Anolis sagrei: one gene and its partner. The protein of the gene in region 1 interacts with the protein of each later gene in a pairwise test. Links are inferred from orthologs where the notes say so. Each region holds a gene or a part of one and is shown in the gene's direction. Other genes may lie near its edges.

Evidence for each region.
Region 2: the proteins of caspase-10 (region 1) and RIOK3 interact in binary tests that used the Homo sapiens proteins (3 or more experiments, as listed by UniProt). The link is inferred for Anolis sagrei from reciprocal best matches to the Homo sapiens genes CASP10 and RIOK3.

The regions. Positions count from the first base shown.
Region 1 is NC_090021.1:164,450,178-164,458,649, forward strand, and holds the start of caspase-10, read left to right. Parts: upstream 1-5,108; 5' UTR 5,109-5,231; intron 5,232-5,336; exon of another isoform or gene 5,337-5,644; intron 5,645-8,472. UniProt on the Homo sapiens protein: Involved in the activation cascade of caspases responsible for apoptosis execution. Recruited to both Fas- and TNFR-1 receptors in a FADD dependent manner. May participate in the granzyme B apoptotic pathways.
Region 2 is NC_090024.1:59,771,148-59,779,225, reverse strand, and holds the start of RIOK3 (serine/threonine-protein kinase RIO3), read left to right. Parts: upstream 1-4,737; 5' UTR 4,738-4,894; coding exon 4,895-4,960; intron 4,961-8,078.

The DNA.
Region 1 (8,472 bases):
ACAAGGCAGAGCTTGAGACATTTTGGGCCAAGTTCCCAGGATCCCCCTAGCCGGTATGGCCAATGTTAAAAGGGAATAGCTGTGTTAAAATAGAAATATTTATTTCATGCCTGAAGTTATGTGTAAGGAAAGCTGCAAAGCAATGTGTAGGAAGTGGCTCTCACTCCTCGTTCAGCATGCGTCCCCTTTCTTGCTGTTCAACTTTGTCTTATGGCAACTCTATGCTTTTTCAAGTTGCCTATTAATCCACAGTCCTGCTCAGATCTTGCAAACTCAAACTTGCAAACTGTAGATTCCTTAATTGAGTCAATCTGTCTGGGTTTTGCCCTTCCTCTTTTCATTCTACTGTCTACCTTACTTTATTTATCTTTTCTTGTGAGTCTTCTCTTGTCATAAATGTGACCAAACCACTAGAACAATTTCTGTTTGGCTTCTCAGGAGGAGTTCTGGCCTGATTTGATTTGATTCAGGACTTGCAGATTTGCCTTTTCAGCAATCCAGGGTCTCCCTAGAAGTCTTTTCCAAATCCACGTCTCAAATGAATCAATTTTCTTCCTATCACAAGCTTGTAGTATCGCATCGGAGAATATTACCCTGTGAATCATTGTGACATTAGCATTCAGTGATACAGTACTGTATTATGATCTTGACTCGTTCCGTCATTGTACATTTTCCTGTTCTGTAGTGTCTGCGTTTTTTAAAAATAAATCTTTTCAGAAGGTAATGTAAAAAACAAAAAAACACAAGTATGTCCATTTGCTTTTTCTTGATCATCCCTTTCTCTGCGTGCTTTCCAAGCTGAGGTCCCAGCCCCTGAAAATCCTGACAGTATTTACACAGTAGAATCGATGCAGTTTGAACTCCATGCTATGGAGCCCTGGGAGTTGTAGTTTGGCAAGGTAAAGCATTATTTGGCAGAGAAGGCTAAAGACCTTGTAAAACTACAGGTCCTTAGGTTTCATAGCAGTGAAAGTGGAACCAAATGGCCTTAGGCTCCTTCCTTCCACACAGCCACGTAACCCAGAAAATCCCACCATATCTGCTTTGAACTGGGTTATCTGATTCCAGCTCAAAGCAGATAATGTGGGGTTGTATTCAGATGTGTGCCAGGGGCCTTAAATCAACCAGTGCAGATGCGCCTTGGGCTGCCATCCTGCCCCCATTTACTTGGGAACCGGGCTTCTGAAGAGGCAGATACAGGATCGAACTGGAAAAGTTTGTAGTTTCCACCCTGGAGTCTGTTGTCCAAAGTGGAACCAGATGCTTCTAAGGCCTCGTCTACACAGTCATATAATATTTATTTATTTACCGCATTTGTATACCGCCTTTCTCAGCCAGAGGCAACTCAAGGTGGTTCATAGTCAGCAGCGATTCGATACCATAACAGTTATCAAAATACAGTTAAAACAATTATCAAAACAATTCAGCATTTTAAATGTAATATAAAAGAAACAATAATGTCTGTAAAAATAAAATCCTTGGCATCTCCTTACTAAAATCGTCAAATTGCATCATTGGTCGTTCCATATATTGGTTTTCGTCTAATTATGCTCCAGTAGTAAAAGCTTGCTCAAAGAGCCAGGTCTTAACCATCTTGCGGAATGTTCAAAGGGAGGGAGCCCATCTTGTATCCCTGGGAAGGGCGTTCCATAGCTGAGGGGCCACCACTGAGAAGGCCCTGTCTCTCGTCCCCACCAAACGCATCTGCGAGGAAGGCGGGATCGAGAGCAGGGCCTCCCCAGACAATCTTAAAGTCCTAGATGGTTCATAAGAAGAGATATGTCCAGATAGGTAAATTGGACCAGAACCATTAAGGGCTTTATAGGCTAAAGCGGGGAGCCCCCAGTGGCGCAATGGGTTAAACCGCTGAGCTGTTGAGCTTGTTGACCAAAAGGTTGCAGGTTTGAATCTGGGGAGCAGCGTGAGCTTTCGCTGTTAGGCCCAGTTTCTGCCAACCTAGCAGTTTGAAAACATGGTGCTCCATACAGTCATGGCAGCTGCATGACCTTGGAGGTGTCTACGGACGACGCCGGCTCTTCGGCTTAGAAATTGAGATGAGCACCACACCCCAGAGTCGGAAACAACTGGACTTAATGTCAGGGGAAAATCTTTACCTTTTTTACACTAAAATAATCCAGTTTATGATAATCTGGATTTTACATGGCAGCATAGAAGGGGACTAACCTGCCACAGAACCCAGATTATCAAAGCAGATAATCTACATGATCGGCTTTGAACTGGATTATATGAGTATACATTGCCATGTAATAATCCAGTTCAAACCGGATAATCTGGATTTTACATGGCAGTGTAGAAGGGCCTAACCTGCCGTAGGAGCCCCTGGTGGCGCAGTGGGTTAAAGCACTGAGCTGCTGAGCTTGTTGACGGAAAGGTCACAGGTTCGAATCCAGGGAGCGGCGTGAGTTTTCACTGTTAGCCCGTTTCTGCCAATTTAGCAGTTCGAAAACATGCAAATGTGAGTAGATAAATAGGTACTTCTCTGGCAGGAAGGTAACGGCGTTCCATGCAGTCATGCTGGCCATATGACCTTGGAGGTGTCTACGGACAATCTTCGTCTTAGAAATGGAGATAAACACCATACGCCAGAGTTGGACATGACTGGACTTAATGTCAGGGGAAAACCTTTCTAAAGCCAGCACTTTTCAATTTTTTCTGCTTTGAACTGGATTAAATAGCAGTGTACACTAAAATAATCCAGTTTATGATAATCTGGATTTTACATGGCAGCACAGAAGGGGCCTAACCTGCCATGAAACCCAGATTATCAAAGGAGATAATCCACATGCTCGGCTTTGAACTTGATTATATGAGTCTACACTGCCATATAATCCAGTTTGAGACAGATAAACTGGATTTTACATGGCAGTATAGAGGGGGCCTAACCTGCTCCCTCTATACTGCCATGTAAAATCCACATGAAGATAGTACACATGATCTACTTTGAACTGGAATATATGAATCTACACTGCCGTATAATGATCTGGTTCAAACCAGATAATCTGGATTTTACATGGCAGTATAGAGGGGGCCTAACCTGCCACAGAACCCAGATTATCAAAGGAGATAATCCACATGATCGGCTTTGATCCCATATAATCCAGTTTGAGACAGATAATCTGAATTTTACATGGCAGCATAGAAGGGGCCTAATTTGCCACAGAACCCAGATTATCAAAGCAGATAATCCATGTGACTGGCTTTGAACTTGATTATATGAATCTACACTGCCATATAATAATCCGGTTCAAACCAGATAATCTGGATTTTACATGGCAGTATAGGGGACTAACCTGCCACAGAACCCAGATATCAAAGCAGATAATCCACATGATTTGCCTTGAACTGGATATCACTCTACACTACATATAATCCAGTTTAAGACAGATAATCTGGATTTTATATGGTAGTATGGGCCTTAAGAAGCGTTGCTAACAACAAGGCAGCAGGGGACGACGAGATCCCAGCTGAACTGTTTAAAATCTTAAAAGATGATGCTGTCAAGGTGATGCATGCCATATGCCAGCAAATATGGAAAACACAAGAATGGCCATCAGACTGGAAAAATCAACTTATATCCCCATACAAAAAAAGGGAAATGCTAAAGGCAGCTCAAACTTACCTACAGTGGCCCTTATTTCTCATGCCAGTAAGGTAATGCTCAAGATCCTGCAAGGAAGACTCCAGCAATACATGGAGCGAGAGTTGCCAGATGTTCAAGCTGGGTTTAGAAAAGGCAGAGGAACGAGAGACCAGATTGCCAATATCCGCTGGATAATGGAGAAAGGCAGGGAGTTTCAGAAAAACATCTACTTCTGCTTCATTGACTATTCTAAAGCCTTTGACTGTGTGGATCATAATAAATTGTGGCAAGTTCTTGGTGGGATGGGGATACCAAGCCACCTTGTCTCTCTCCTGAGGAATCTGTACAAGGACCAAGTAGCAACAGTCAGAACTGACCACGGAACAACAGACTGGTTCAAGATTGGGAAAGGCGTACGGCAAGGCTGCATCCTCTCCCCCAACCTTTTTAACTTGTATGCAGAACACATCATGCGATGTGCGGGGCTGGATGAATGCAAGGCTGGGGTGAAAATTGCTGGAAGAAACATTAACAACCTCAGATATGCAGATGACACCACTCTGATGGCCGAAAGCGAGGAGGAGCTGAGGAGCCTTCTAATCAAGGTGAAAGAAGAAAGCGCAAAAGCTGGGTTGCAGCTAAACGTCAAAAAAACCAAGATTATGGCAACAAGAATGATTGACAACTGGAAAATAGAGGGAGAAACCGTGGAGGCCGTGACAGACTTTGTATTTCTAGGCGCAAAGATGACTGCAGATGCAGACTGTGGCCAGGAAATTGGGAGACACTTACTTCTTGGGAGGAGAGCAATGTCAGTCTCGATAAAATAGTAAAAAGTAGAGACATCAGACTGGCAACAAAGATCCGCCTAGTCAAAGCCATGGTATTTCCTGTAGTAACCTATGGATGTGAGAGCTGGACCTTAGGGAAGGCTGAGCGAAGGAAGATCGATGCTTTTGAGCTGTGGTGTTGGAGGAAAGTGCTGAGAGTGCCTTGGACTGCGAGAAGATCCAACCAGTCCATCCTCCAGGAAATAAAGCCCGGCTGCTCACTGGAGGGAAAGATACTAGAGACAAAGTTGAAGTACTTTGGCCACATCATGAGGAGACAGGAAAGCCTAGAGAAGACAATTATGCTGGAGAAAGTAGAAGGCATAAGGATGGCATCCTTGAAGCGACTGGACTGACCTTGAGGGAGCTGGGGGTGGTGACCGCCGACAGGGAGCTCTGGCGTGGGCTGGTCCATGAGGTCACGAAGAGTCGGAGACGACTGAACGAATGAACAACAACAACAACATAGAGGGGGCGTAACCTGCCATGAAACCCAGATTATCAAAGGAGATGATCCACATGATCGACTTTGAACTGGATTAGATGAGTCTACACTGCCAGATCATCTGGATGTAGCAGGGACCTAGGATTCCCAAGCATATTTCCCGCCTTTTTGCAGCTGCTCAGCCTTTACTGGGAGGAGCCTCTTTGTCTCCCCGGAAAGTGCTGGGCGGGGCTTTGCACCAGACCAGGAAATTCAAAAAAACCCATTGCGGGAGTCGGAAGTGGCCGAGAAAGAGAGAGATCGGGATCCTTTGAGCTCTTGGATTTTGCTTTAAAGAGGCCCCTTCTCTCATCAGGTTGGCTTGCGTTTCCTTTCTTTCTGCCTTCGGGAGTGGGGTGGGAGGGGAGGAAGCGGGAAGGAGGGCAGGAGGAGTCTTCCTTACAGGCGCCTGATTACAGCTCCCAGGACCACCATGGGGCAGCCCCAAGTGGAGCCAAACTACATTCACTCTGCTGTGTAGATAGTTACAGGTCGTTTTCAGAGAAGGGAGAGTCCTCTGCCACTTCCAGGAAGCCTATCTGATTCACCCCAGAAAACGAAACCCATTTTCTCAAAGCGAAAGTAACTCAACAAGTTCTCTTCCAGGCCGGATTATATGAGTCCCCACTGCCAGATAATCTGGGATAAACAGAAAACCTGGGATTGATCAGATCCTGGGATATATAAGGGCCTGCCTGGAAGGGTCCCAAGTTATAAGGATCTGGAAGGGTATGTCGCAGGAGATTTTGCAGCTCAGCACAATAACACTATGTCACAATTTAAAACAAATCTGTTCCTGGTTTGAAAGTGTTCTTTCCTGTTTCATTTTGTGATATTAGCTACTTTGAAAGTTGTTCTACTCCAGAAACTTCATTTTTGTGGCTGCCACAAACTCGGTTGAATTGGTTGAGACTGGATTGTAAAACTAAGCAAAATGTGCTGCAGGATGTCCCACAAAAGCAAGGTTTTCACAGTTTAAATAAACTTTTACCATGTTTGCATGATAGAACCAATTAGGAAATGACATTTACAACCCAGGAACAAACATTGTGTTACTTATTATTATTGTTGTTATTATGGAGATTCAAAGTGGCTCACAATTGAAAGCATTACAACTTAAAATATACATTATTATTATATTATGTTAGTAGTATTATATTTAATATATTGATATTATATTACAATATTATTTTCTATATTAGATTGTATTACATCATTATTATGGAGACTCAAAGCGACTCTCAATTGAAAGCATTGCAACTTAAAATATACATTATTATTATATTATGTTAGTAGTATTATATTTAATATATTAATATTATATTACAATATTATTTTATATATTAGAATGTATTATTAGAATTATATTGTATTACATTATATTATTATTATGGAGACTCAAAGCGGCTCACAATTAAAAGCATTACACTATAACTTAAAATATACATTATTATTATATGTTATTAATAGTATTATATATTTAATATATTAATATTATATTACAATAATATTTTATATATTATATTGTATTATTAGAATTATATTGTATTACATTGTAATATTATTATTATTACTATTACTATTATGGAGATTCAAAGTGGCTCACAAAAGCATTACAATACAACTTAAAATATACATTACTATTATATGCTAGTAGTATTATATTTAATATTAATGTTATATTACAATAATATTTTATGTATTAGATTGTATTATTAGAATTATTTTGCATTACATTATTATTATTATGGAGACTCAAAGCGGCTCACAATTCAAAGCATTACAATATAACTTAAAATATACATTATTATTATATGTTATTAGTAGTATTATATTTATCATATTAATATTATATTACAATAATATTTTATATATTATATTGTATTATTAGAATTATATTGTATTACATTGTAATATTATTATGGAGACTCAAAGCAGCTCACAATTAAAAGCGTTACAATACAACTTAAAATATTCATTGTTATATGTTATTAGTAGTATTATATTAAATATATTAATATTATATTACAATATTATTTTATATATTGTATTGTTAGAATTATATTGTGTTACATTACAATCTATATTATCTTATAATATTACAATATTAGTAGTACTATATATTGTATATGTGCTGTTTAACATCTACATGAAGCCGCTGGGTGAGATCATTCGGAGTTTCGGGGTGCGGTGTCACCTGTACGCAGATGACGTCCAACTCTGTCACTCCTTCCCACCTGCTACTAAGGAGGCTGTCGAAGTCCTGAACCGGTGCCTGGCCGCTGTAACGGTCTGGATGAGGGCGAACAAACTGAAACTAAATCCAGACAAGACAGAGGTACTCCTGGTCAGTCGCAAGGCCGAGCAGGGTATAGGGTTACAGCCTGTGCTGGACGGGGTCGCACTCCCCTTGAAGGCGCAGGTTCGCAGCTTGGGTGTGACCCTGGACTCATCGCTGAGCCTGGATCCCCAGGTTTCAGCGGTGACCAGGGGAGCATTTGCACAGCTTAGGCTTGTGCGCCAGCTGCGCCCGTATCTTGGGAAGTCTGACTTGGCCACGGTGGTACACGCTTTGGTCACATCCCGCCTCGACTACTGCAACGCTCTCTACGTGGGGCTGCCCTTGAAGACGGCCCGGAAGCTTCAGCTAGTCCAGCGCGCGGCAGCCATGTTGTTAACAGGAGCAGGGCGCAGGGAGCATACAACGCCCCTGCTGTCCCAGCTCCACTGGCTGCCGATTTGCTACCGGGCCCAATTTAAGGTGCTGGTGTTATCCTACAAAGCCCTAAACGGTTCCGGCCCAAAATACCTTGCAGACCACATCTCGGCCTACGAGCCCACGAGGACCTTAAGATCATCCGGGGAGGCCCTTCTCTCGGTCCCGCCTGCCTCACAGGCACACCTGGCGGGGACGAGGGAGCGGGCCTTCTCGGTGGTGGCCCCCTCGGCTGTGGAACACCCTCCCTACTGAAGTTAGACAGGCGCCCTCCCTTATGGCCTTTCGTAGGAGCCTGAAAACATGGCTCTTCGAGCGGGCCTTCAATTGAGTGCTATATCATTGGAAATGATGACCGGAATGGACTATGACTATGAAATCGACTATGACCCCAGGATTTGACGAAGCGGATTTTTAACATAAGTATATGTTAAGCGAGGAGGAGCTGAGGAGCCTTCTAATCAAGGTGAAAGAAGAAAGCGCAAAAGCCGGGTTGCAGCTGAACGTCAAAAAAACCAAGATTATGGCAACAAGAATGATTGACAACTGGAAAATAGAGGGAGAAACCGTGGAGGCCGTGACAGACTTTGTATTTCTAGGTGCAAAGATTACTGCAGATGCAGACTGTGGCCAGGAAATCAGAAGACGCTTACTTCTTGGGAGGAGAGCAATGTCCAGTCTCGATAAAATAGTAAAGAGTAGAGACATCAGACTGGCAACAAAGATCCGCCTGGTCAAAGCCATGGTATTCCCTGTAGTAACCTACGGATGTGAGAGCTGGACCATAGGGAAGGCTGAGCGAAGGAAGATCGATGCTTTTGAGCTGTGGTGCTGGAGGAAA
Region 2 (8,078 bases), on another chromosome or scaffold:
GAGATAGCGGACGTCGTCCAGCACGTCCAGGAGCCAAGCCTGGCAGCTCTGGGCCAGGGGCTCGGCTTGGGCGGCCTGGGGAGGAGGAGGCGGCGCCATGGCGGGCTCTGGAGGGGAAGGGGCGCCTTCTCCCGAGGGAGCGGCCTCCCTGGAAGCTTCCCCGGGGTCTCCCTTCTCCTCTGCTTCCTCCTCGGCCTTCTCCAGGGTCGGGACGGCGGCGCTCATCCTGCCCTTCGCCTCCTGCCAAGGGAAAGGTCTCTTGCTCTTCCTGCTGCTGCTCCTCCTCCTCCTTTGTGATGCAGGGAGAAGGAGGAGCCAGGGTGGGAGGCGACGCAAGCACCCGGCGCAGGGCATGCCTAGGCTGGAGAAACAACGTTGCCCTTTGGCACAGCTTTAAAAGCCATGCTATGGGATCCAGGGAGTTGTAGCAGAGGCCCCTATGAAATCCATATTATCTGGACCACTCTGAACAACCACCTTGTCAGGCTGCACAGAGAAGCCACTGAAATCCACAAGCGTGTGGTCAGTTTCAACAGAAAGGAGGAAACCATGAAAATGTACAAAATCTGGCTACCAGTATTTTTTTTAAAACCCTCTATAATAAAGAGGAACACTGGAAAAAACAAAGAAACAGGGAACTCCAGACAATAAACAATCAGGGCCAGCTAACACCTCCCAACAAAGTATGGTGATAGTATGATAGCTGGGTCCTGAAGCTCCGAATTTTATGGAGATGCCACAAAGGCGGCTGTGAATAAGGGAAGAGAGGGGGCGGAGTGAGAGTGCGGGAGAGAAGGATGGATAGAAAGGAGGGGACACTTAGGGTAAGGGTTTGGGTTTGGGTAAAGGATTAGGCTTAGGCTTACGGTACGGTTCAGGGTTAGGGTTTCACCATTAAAGTACTCTTAATGTATTATCTGTCTCCGGCCTGGCTTACATTAGCTAAGCATCTCTTGGACAAACAGCACTCCCGAAGGAGCGATGCAGCACCTCCATAATGCTCGGAGCTTCCGAAACCAGCTATCATACTATTACCCCTAACCCAAACCCTAAACCTTACCCTAACCGTAACCGCTAACCCTAATCGTAACCCTAGCCCTTACCCTACCCCAAACCCTAACCATAAAACTTACTATAACCCTAACCATAACCCTAGCCCTAACCCTTACCCTACCGCTAAACCTAACCATAAACCTTACCCTAACCGCTAACCCTAATCGTAACCCTAGCCCTAACCCTTTCCTTACTCCAAACCCTAACCATAAAACTTACACTAACCCTAACCACTAACCCTAATCATAACCCTAACCCTAATCATACACTAACCGCTAACATTAATTGTAACCCTTACCCTACCCCAAACCTTAACCATAAACCTTACCCTAACCGCTAACCCTAATCATAACCCTAATCGTAACCCTAACCCTCACCATAAACCTTACCCTAACCGCTAACCCTAATTGTAACCCTAACCCTTACCCTACCCCAAACCCTCACCATAAACCTTACCCTAACCGCTAACCCTAATTGTAACCCTAACCCTTACCCTACCCCAAACCCTAACCATAAACCTAACCGCTAACCCTAATTGTAACCCTTACCCTACCCCAAACCCTAACCATAAACCTTACCCTAACCGCTAACCCTAATTGTAACCCTTACCCTAACCCTCACCATAAACCTTATCCTAACCACTAACCCTAATTGTAACCCTAACCCTTACCCTACCCCAAACCCTAACCATAAACCTTACCATAACCGCTAACCCTAATTGTAATCCTAACCCTTACCCTACCCCAAACCCTAACCATAAACCTAACCGCTAACCCTAATTGTAACCCTACCCCTAACCCAAACCCTAAACTTAACCGCTAACCCTAAGGGTAACCCTAGCCTTAACCCTTACCCTACCCCAAACCCTAACCATAAATCTTATCCTAGCCCTCCCCTCTTTTCTCTCTGGACCACATGGTCCCTTCCCTTATTCACAACCGCCATTGTGGAATGTGCGTAACACTCGGAACTTCCGGACCCAGCAACCATACTATCACCTTCTTAATAACTACCATGTCAGACTACACCGAAAAGCCATTCAAATCCACAAGCATGTGGACAATTTCAACAGAAAGGAGGAAGCCATGAAAATGAGCAAAATCTGGCTACCAGTATTTTTTTTAAAAACCCCTCTAAAATTAGAACAGTAAATAAAGAGAAACACTAAAAAAAAAAAAACAAAAAAAAAACGGGAATGCCAGACAAGAAACAATCAGGGCCAGCTAACACCTCCCAACAAAGGATTCCCCCAGGCAGCAACCAGCCAGGATTTGAAGGTGCAAGGCTATTCAGTTCTAATAAAGGTGATCAATTGCAAGATTCACACTTACCTCAAACAGACAAGAGTTCTTTCTTTCTTCCACCCTGGACATTCCACAGATAGATAAACCCCACTTGCCTTGTTTCTTCTGAGGATGCCTGCTGTAGATGTGGGTGAAACGTCAGGAGAGAATGCTTTTGGAACATGGCCATACAGCCCGGAAAACTTAGCAACCATAGAGTCATATAGTTGGAGATCTCGTTGGCCAACCAGTCCAACCTTCTGCCAAGAAGCAGGAAAATCACATTCAAAGCACCTCCAACAGATGGCCATCCAGCCTCTGCTTAAAAGCCTCTAAAGCAGGAGCCTCCAACACACAGAAGCTTCCACGACTGAACAGCTCTCACAGTCAGGAAGTTCTTCCTAATGTTCAGGTGGAATCTCCTTTCCTGTAGTTTGAAGCCATTGTTCCGCGTTCTAATCTCCAGGGCAGCAGAAAACAAGCTTGTTCCCTCCTCTCTATGACTTCCTCTCACATATTTATACATGGTCATCATGTCTCCTCTCAGCCTTCTCTTCTTCAGGCTAAACATGCCCAGCTCTTTAAGCCATAGTGTCTGATCTGAACTGGATTATATGGCAGTGCAGACTCAGGAAGAAGGCGACAAGGGACAAGGAGCTGATTTAATTTGATTAATAAATAGCAAGAGTATGAAGAATGCGTTTGATTAAATAAATAGTCTCAGTCTTTTCATGTAGAAGAGATCGATAGAAGAGTTTGTCAAGACAAACATACAGGAAAAAGACTCACATTTTATTATTTTGTATTATTTTATTGTTTTGTATTATTTGTTGTTATTGCTTTTATTATTGATGTATTGTGGGCTCGGCCTCATGTAAGCCGCACCGAGTCCCTTGGGAGATGGTAGCGGGGTATAAATAAAGTATTATTATTATTATTATTATTATTATTATTATTATCATTGTCAAAGGCTTTCATGGCCGGAATCACTGGGTTGTTGTAGGGTTTTCCGGGCTATATGGCCATGTTCTAGAGGCATTTTCTCCTGACGTTTCGCCTGCATCTATGGCAAGCATCCTCAGAGTCTGTTGGAAGTGGGAAAATGGGTTTATATATCTGTGGAATGACCAGGGTGGGACAAAGGACTGCAAGGCACTTGCAAAGGCACTGCAGACTACTTCAACCAGAGAAGTCAGCCATAGCAAACTATGAAAATGAACAAAATCTGGCTACCAGTATTAAAAAACTCAAAAATTACAACAGCAAAACAACAGAGAGTAAACAATCAGGCACATCAAATCACTCTCAACAAAAGATTCCCCCCAGACACTTCCAAGCCATTAAATACTAATCAAGGTGGTCAGTTGAAACATTCACACCTAGCTCCAGCAGACAAAAGTCCTTTGTCCTTCCAGAGATATATAAACCCATTTTCCTACTTCCAACAGACCTCACTATCTCTGAGGATGCTTGCCATAGATGCAGGTGAAACGTCAGGAGAAAATGCCTCTAGAACATGGCCATATAGCCCGGAAAAACCTACAACAACCCATTATTATTATTATAGCACAATAAAAAAAAAACACCACCGAATGGAAGTTGTACGGAAGGAAGGACCCAACAATAAATAACTCGTAGCCTTTCTTAGTTATGCAAAAGAAATCAATTGAAGGGTCTGCATGGGAAATGCCAAATCAGGAAGCTTAGACAGGCAGGGCTATAAACATTAGCTGGAAGCAGTTGTCTCAGGCCTCTTCCACACAGCTGAATAAAAACCCACTTTTTCTGCTTTGAACTGGGATATATGGCAGTGTGGATTCAGATAACCCAGTTTAAAGCAGATATTGTGGCATTTTCTGCCTTGATATTCTGGGTTAGATGGCAGTGTGGAAGGGCCTACAGGGCACTTCCACACAGCCCTATATCCCAGAATATCAAGGCAGAAAATCCCACATTATCTGAGTGTGGACTCAGATAACCCAGTTCAAAGCAGATTTTGTTGGATTTTCTGCCTTGATATTCTGGGATATAGGGCTGTGTGGAAGGGCCCAATATCTACTTTGAACTGGGTTATCTGAGGCCACGCTGCCATATACTCCAGTTCAAAGTAGGTAATGTGGGATTTTCTGCCTTGATATTCTGGGATATGGGGCTGTGTGGAAGGGTCCTCTGAATATTATGATTTTATTCTATATAGGGCATACATTAAGGGTCAAAAGATGGGAAGTGTAGAGTCAGTAAAAGAGCCAAGGTGGTGTAATAGAATGGCAGGTGGTATGGCTTTAAAAAAGGGGGGGGGGAGCGGAAGCGCGAGGCTGTCAAGGGAAAGGGGGATTCCAAAGGAAGTGACGCACAGCCCAACGCAATTGCTACGGACCAATGGGCGCCTGGTATTGGGAATCAGGGGGCGGGAAGAGTGAAAGACAGGCCTAGAAGAAGCCGGAAGAGGTTTTTATTCTTCTGCCATTCCTTGCCGGTCTCCTTGTGGTCTTCCTTGTTGTTGTTGCCAGCTGGCCTCGCTTTCCCTTCGCTCTCTCGCCTCTGCTTCTCCGTCAGCCATGGATCCCGTTGGCGTCGTCCCCGCCGCCGAAGTCAGCCCGGGCCCCGCTTGGCCTCAGAGCAAGGTATGTGGAGCCTGGTCCCTCAGCGCCACCATGACTTTGGAAAGGGGAAGGGCTGGGGGAATTGAAGTTCAGTCACCCGAAAGGCCAAACGCTCGATACCTCTGACTTAAGCCTCTTCCACACAGCTGAATAAAACCCCACATGGCCTGCTCTGATCTGGGATACAGGGCAGTGTGGACTCAGATAACTCAGGGCCCTTCCACGCAGCCACATAACCCAGAATATCAAGGCTGAAAATCCCAAAATAACTACTTTGAACTGGGCTTTCTGACTCCACACTGCCATATATTCCAGTTCAAAGCAGATATCTCAGCAGGTGTTGCTGATCAGGTGAAAAACAACATAGAATAGCGTTGTTTCTTATTGTATTGTCCAACAGAATTACATGCCTTCTCCTACACACACCACAAAACAACACATCCATCCCATCACACCCCCATCACCGCCACACAGCCCCCAATGCCACATCAATGAGATGCCATAGAGTTCAACAAAACCGCAGTTCTAGGACAAAAACAATCCTTCAGTCTGTCTGTCCATGTCTTTGTCACCCAGTATTATCTGTCAGAAAAAAATACTAACAATATGTGGTGGGTTTCCCTCCTTTCGACAAGAATCAAAAGTGTAGGAGCTGTCACTCATTTCCAGTGAGGCAGTGGAAAGGGTGGCACCATTTCAGATGGCAAGTGAAGGGAGGTGACAGGTTGAAAGCTTTCCAATCTAAACAAATAATGAATGGATAGGGGAAGAATGAAGACGGATTACTCAGAAGGATCCTTTCACATTAGGGACTTTCAAGAATGGCATTTGTCACTCCTCTTGCTTTCCTTTAGAAATATTTATATAAATAAAAATGTAATGTTCATTTGTGGGATTAACATAACTAAAAAACCACTGAGCGAATTGACACCAAATTTGAACACTATACACCAGTCAGGCCAACGAGTGACCACTTATAAAAACATTGTAAAACACAGCGGAAGAGACTTAAGAAACCATACATTGAGTATACATATACTCAAATATGTACACACACATATATGCACACAAAACACATATACACAGACTAGGCCACAGCAACACATGGCAGGGGACAGCTAATTTTATAACAATTTTATATATATATATATATATATATATATATATATATAGTTTTACAGCAGAGACCTAATATTCAGGACAATCTACAGTACATTAACTTTTTGCATTTACTGTTATTTTCAAGCTTATACATATTTTCTTACCCTCCCCACCATGTTTCCTCTTGCTTTCCAAAGCAGGACAGCTCACCAGTCTCAAACTAAGGGTGCTGTAGAATTAATGCAGTTTGATGCCACTTTAACTACTATGGTGCGATGCTATGGGATTTTGGGAATTGTAGTTTTACAAGATCTTTACCTTTTTTTTAGGTCAGAGTGCTTGTGCCTCAGCAAACTTCAAATTCTAGATTTCCACAGCATTGAGCCAAAGTGGTGTCAAACTATATTCATTCTGCAGTGGAGATGTATCTTTGATCCTCACAGCTTGAGAGGAAGAATTTAGAGCAGACATGGGCAAACTTGAGCCCTCCAGAAGGCTGTTAGGAATTGTGGTTGTTAGTCCAAAACACCTGGAGAGCCCAAGTTTCCTCATGCCTGATTTAAAGCCTGAATTGATAAACCTGGCCACCTAACTTCCTCCTTATGTTCACAGAGGTGCCATCTTTGTTTTTTCCTGTTAACAGTTCCTGTGCCGATATCAGTTGTGTTGTAAATAACTATTTAATAGGTACAGATTAATAATTGTGATGCGGTGTTGAGTAAAACTCTCTCTCTCTCTCTCTCTCTCTCTCTCTATATATATATATATATATATATCATACATATATTACTGATTAAGATATTTTCCCCCCTACTGTATGCTGCCTCAAGAGGCTCTGGCAGGTTGAGATAGTAAATAAATGTTTTAAACATTACATAAAAAATAAGAAAAGGTTGAAATCCTTTATTCTCTGCTCCAAGATGAGGGAAAACTTTCTAAAAATGGGAAGAATGCATTATGCATGCACTGCTTTGGGGTCCTGGTAGGTTGAGAAGCAACTAATAAGTATCTTAAATATTATATAACAATAGAGGCAACAAATGAATATCTTCAATATATTATATGAAATAGAAAGAGATTGTAGTACTTTATTCTCTTTCCCAAGAGAAAGGAATACTTTTTTTAATAATGGGAAGGACACATTATGCCCTCCTGAAGGGCTATGAATGCCAGCTAATCACTTACGTTGTATTGACAAGATAGTGTCCTGTAATTCCTAGCTAACAGGATTAGGGGTGAGGTGGTACCATCTGGGATAATAGCCAGTTTGTTGTAATGGTTAAAGTACAACCCTCAGCCATGAAGATCATCAGGTGACCTTTTCCAGTCACTCAGCAACCAAACTCACGTCACAGGCTTGTGTAAAGATGAAAAGGAGGGATAAAACATATGTCATCCTGAGGTTTTTATTAAGGAAGTATGGGATCCCTTGATACATTATCTGCCTCCTCCCCAATGTATAATGGGATGGTCCATTAACCTGCTTGTAAATTGTTAATGTGTTGGTGATGTAATACAGTAAAATTAAACCATTTCAAGTCTAAAGTCTACATCCAGATAAGCCTCCCCAGTGTGTCATTACCTGATAAGAGGTTGCAGGTGAAGATGGCTCTAAGGCAGGCAATGAGCAAACAGTAGGCTGTTAGGAATTGTGGGGGTTAAAGTACAAAACACTTGGAGGGCTGAAATTTGCCCATGCCTGCTCTAGAACCCTGGTTCCTAATGTGGGGCATATGCCCCATGGGCGGCGGTGGGGGGGGGGGGATTTGATTTTTAAATGTGGCAATTCGAGAATGAGTTATTATCAGTGAATGTTTTGCATTTCTTTTGATTCTAGGGGCCTTATATACAGTCTGTAAATAATTATTGTGACATACACATTTTAAAAATTAAAATCGGAATGTACATGGTGTTCAGCTGGTGACAATGGAGAGGGGGAAAGCCCACTAATAGAGAGGAGTGGTGAGAACATGTATATAATTAGAGTGTGTATGAGCATGGAAGAGTGAAACAACTTCAATTCCAAGCACCCCACTTC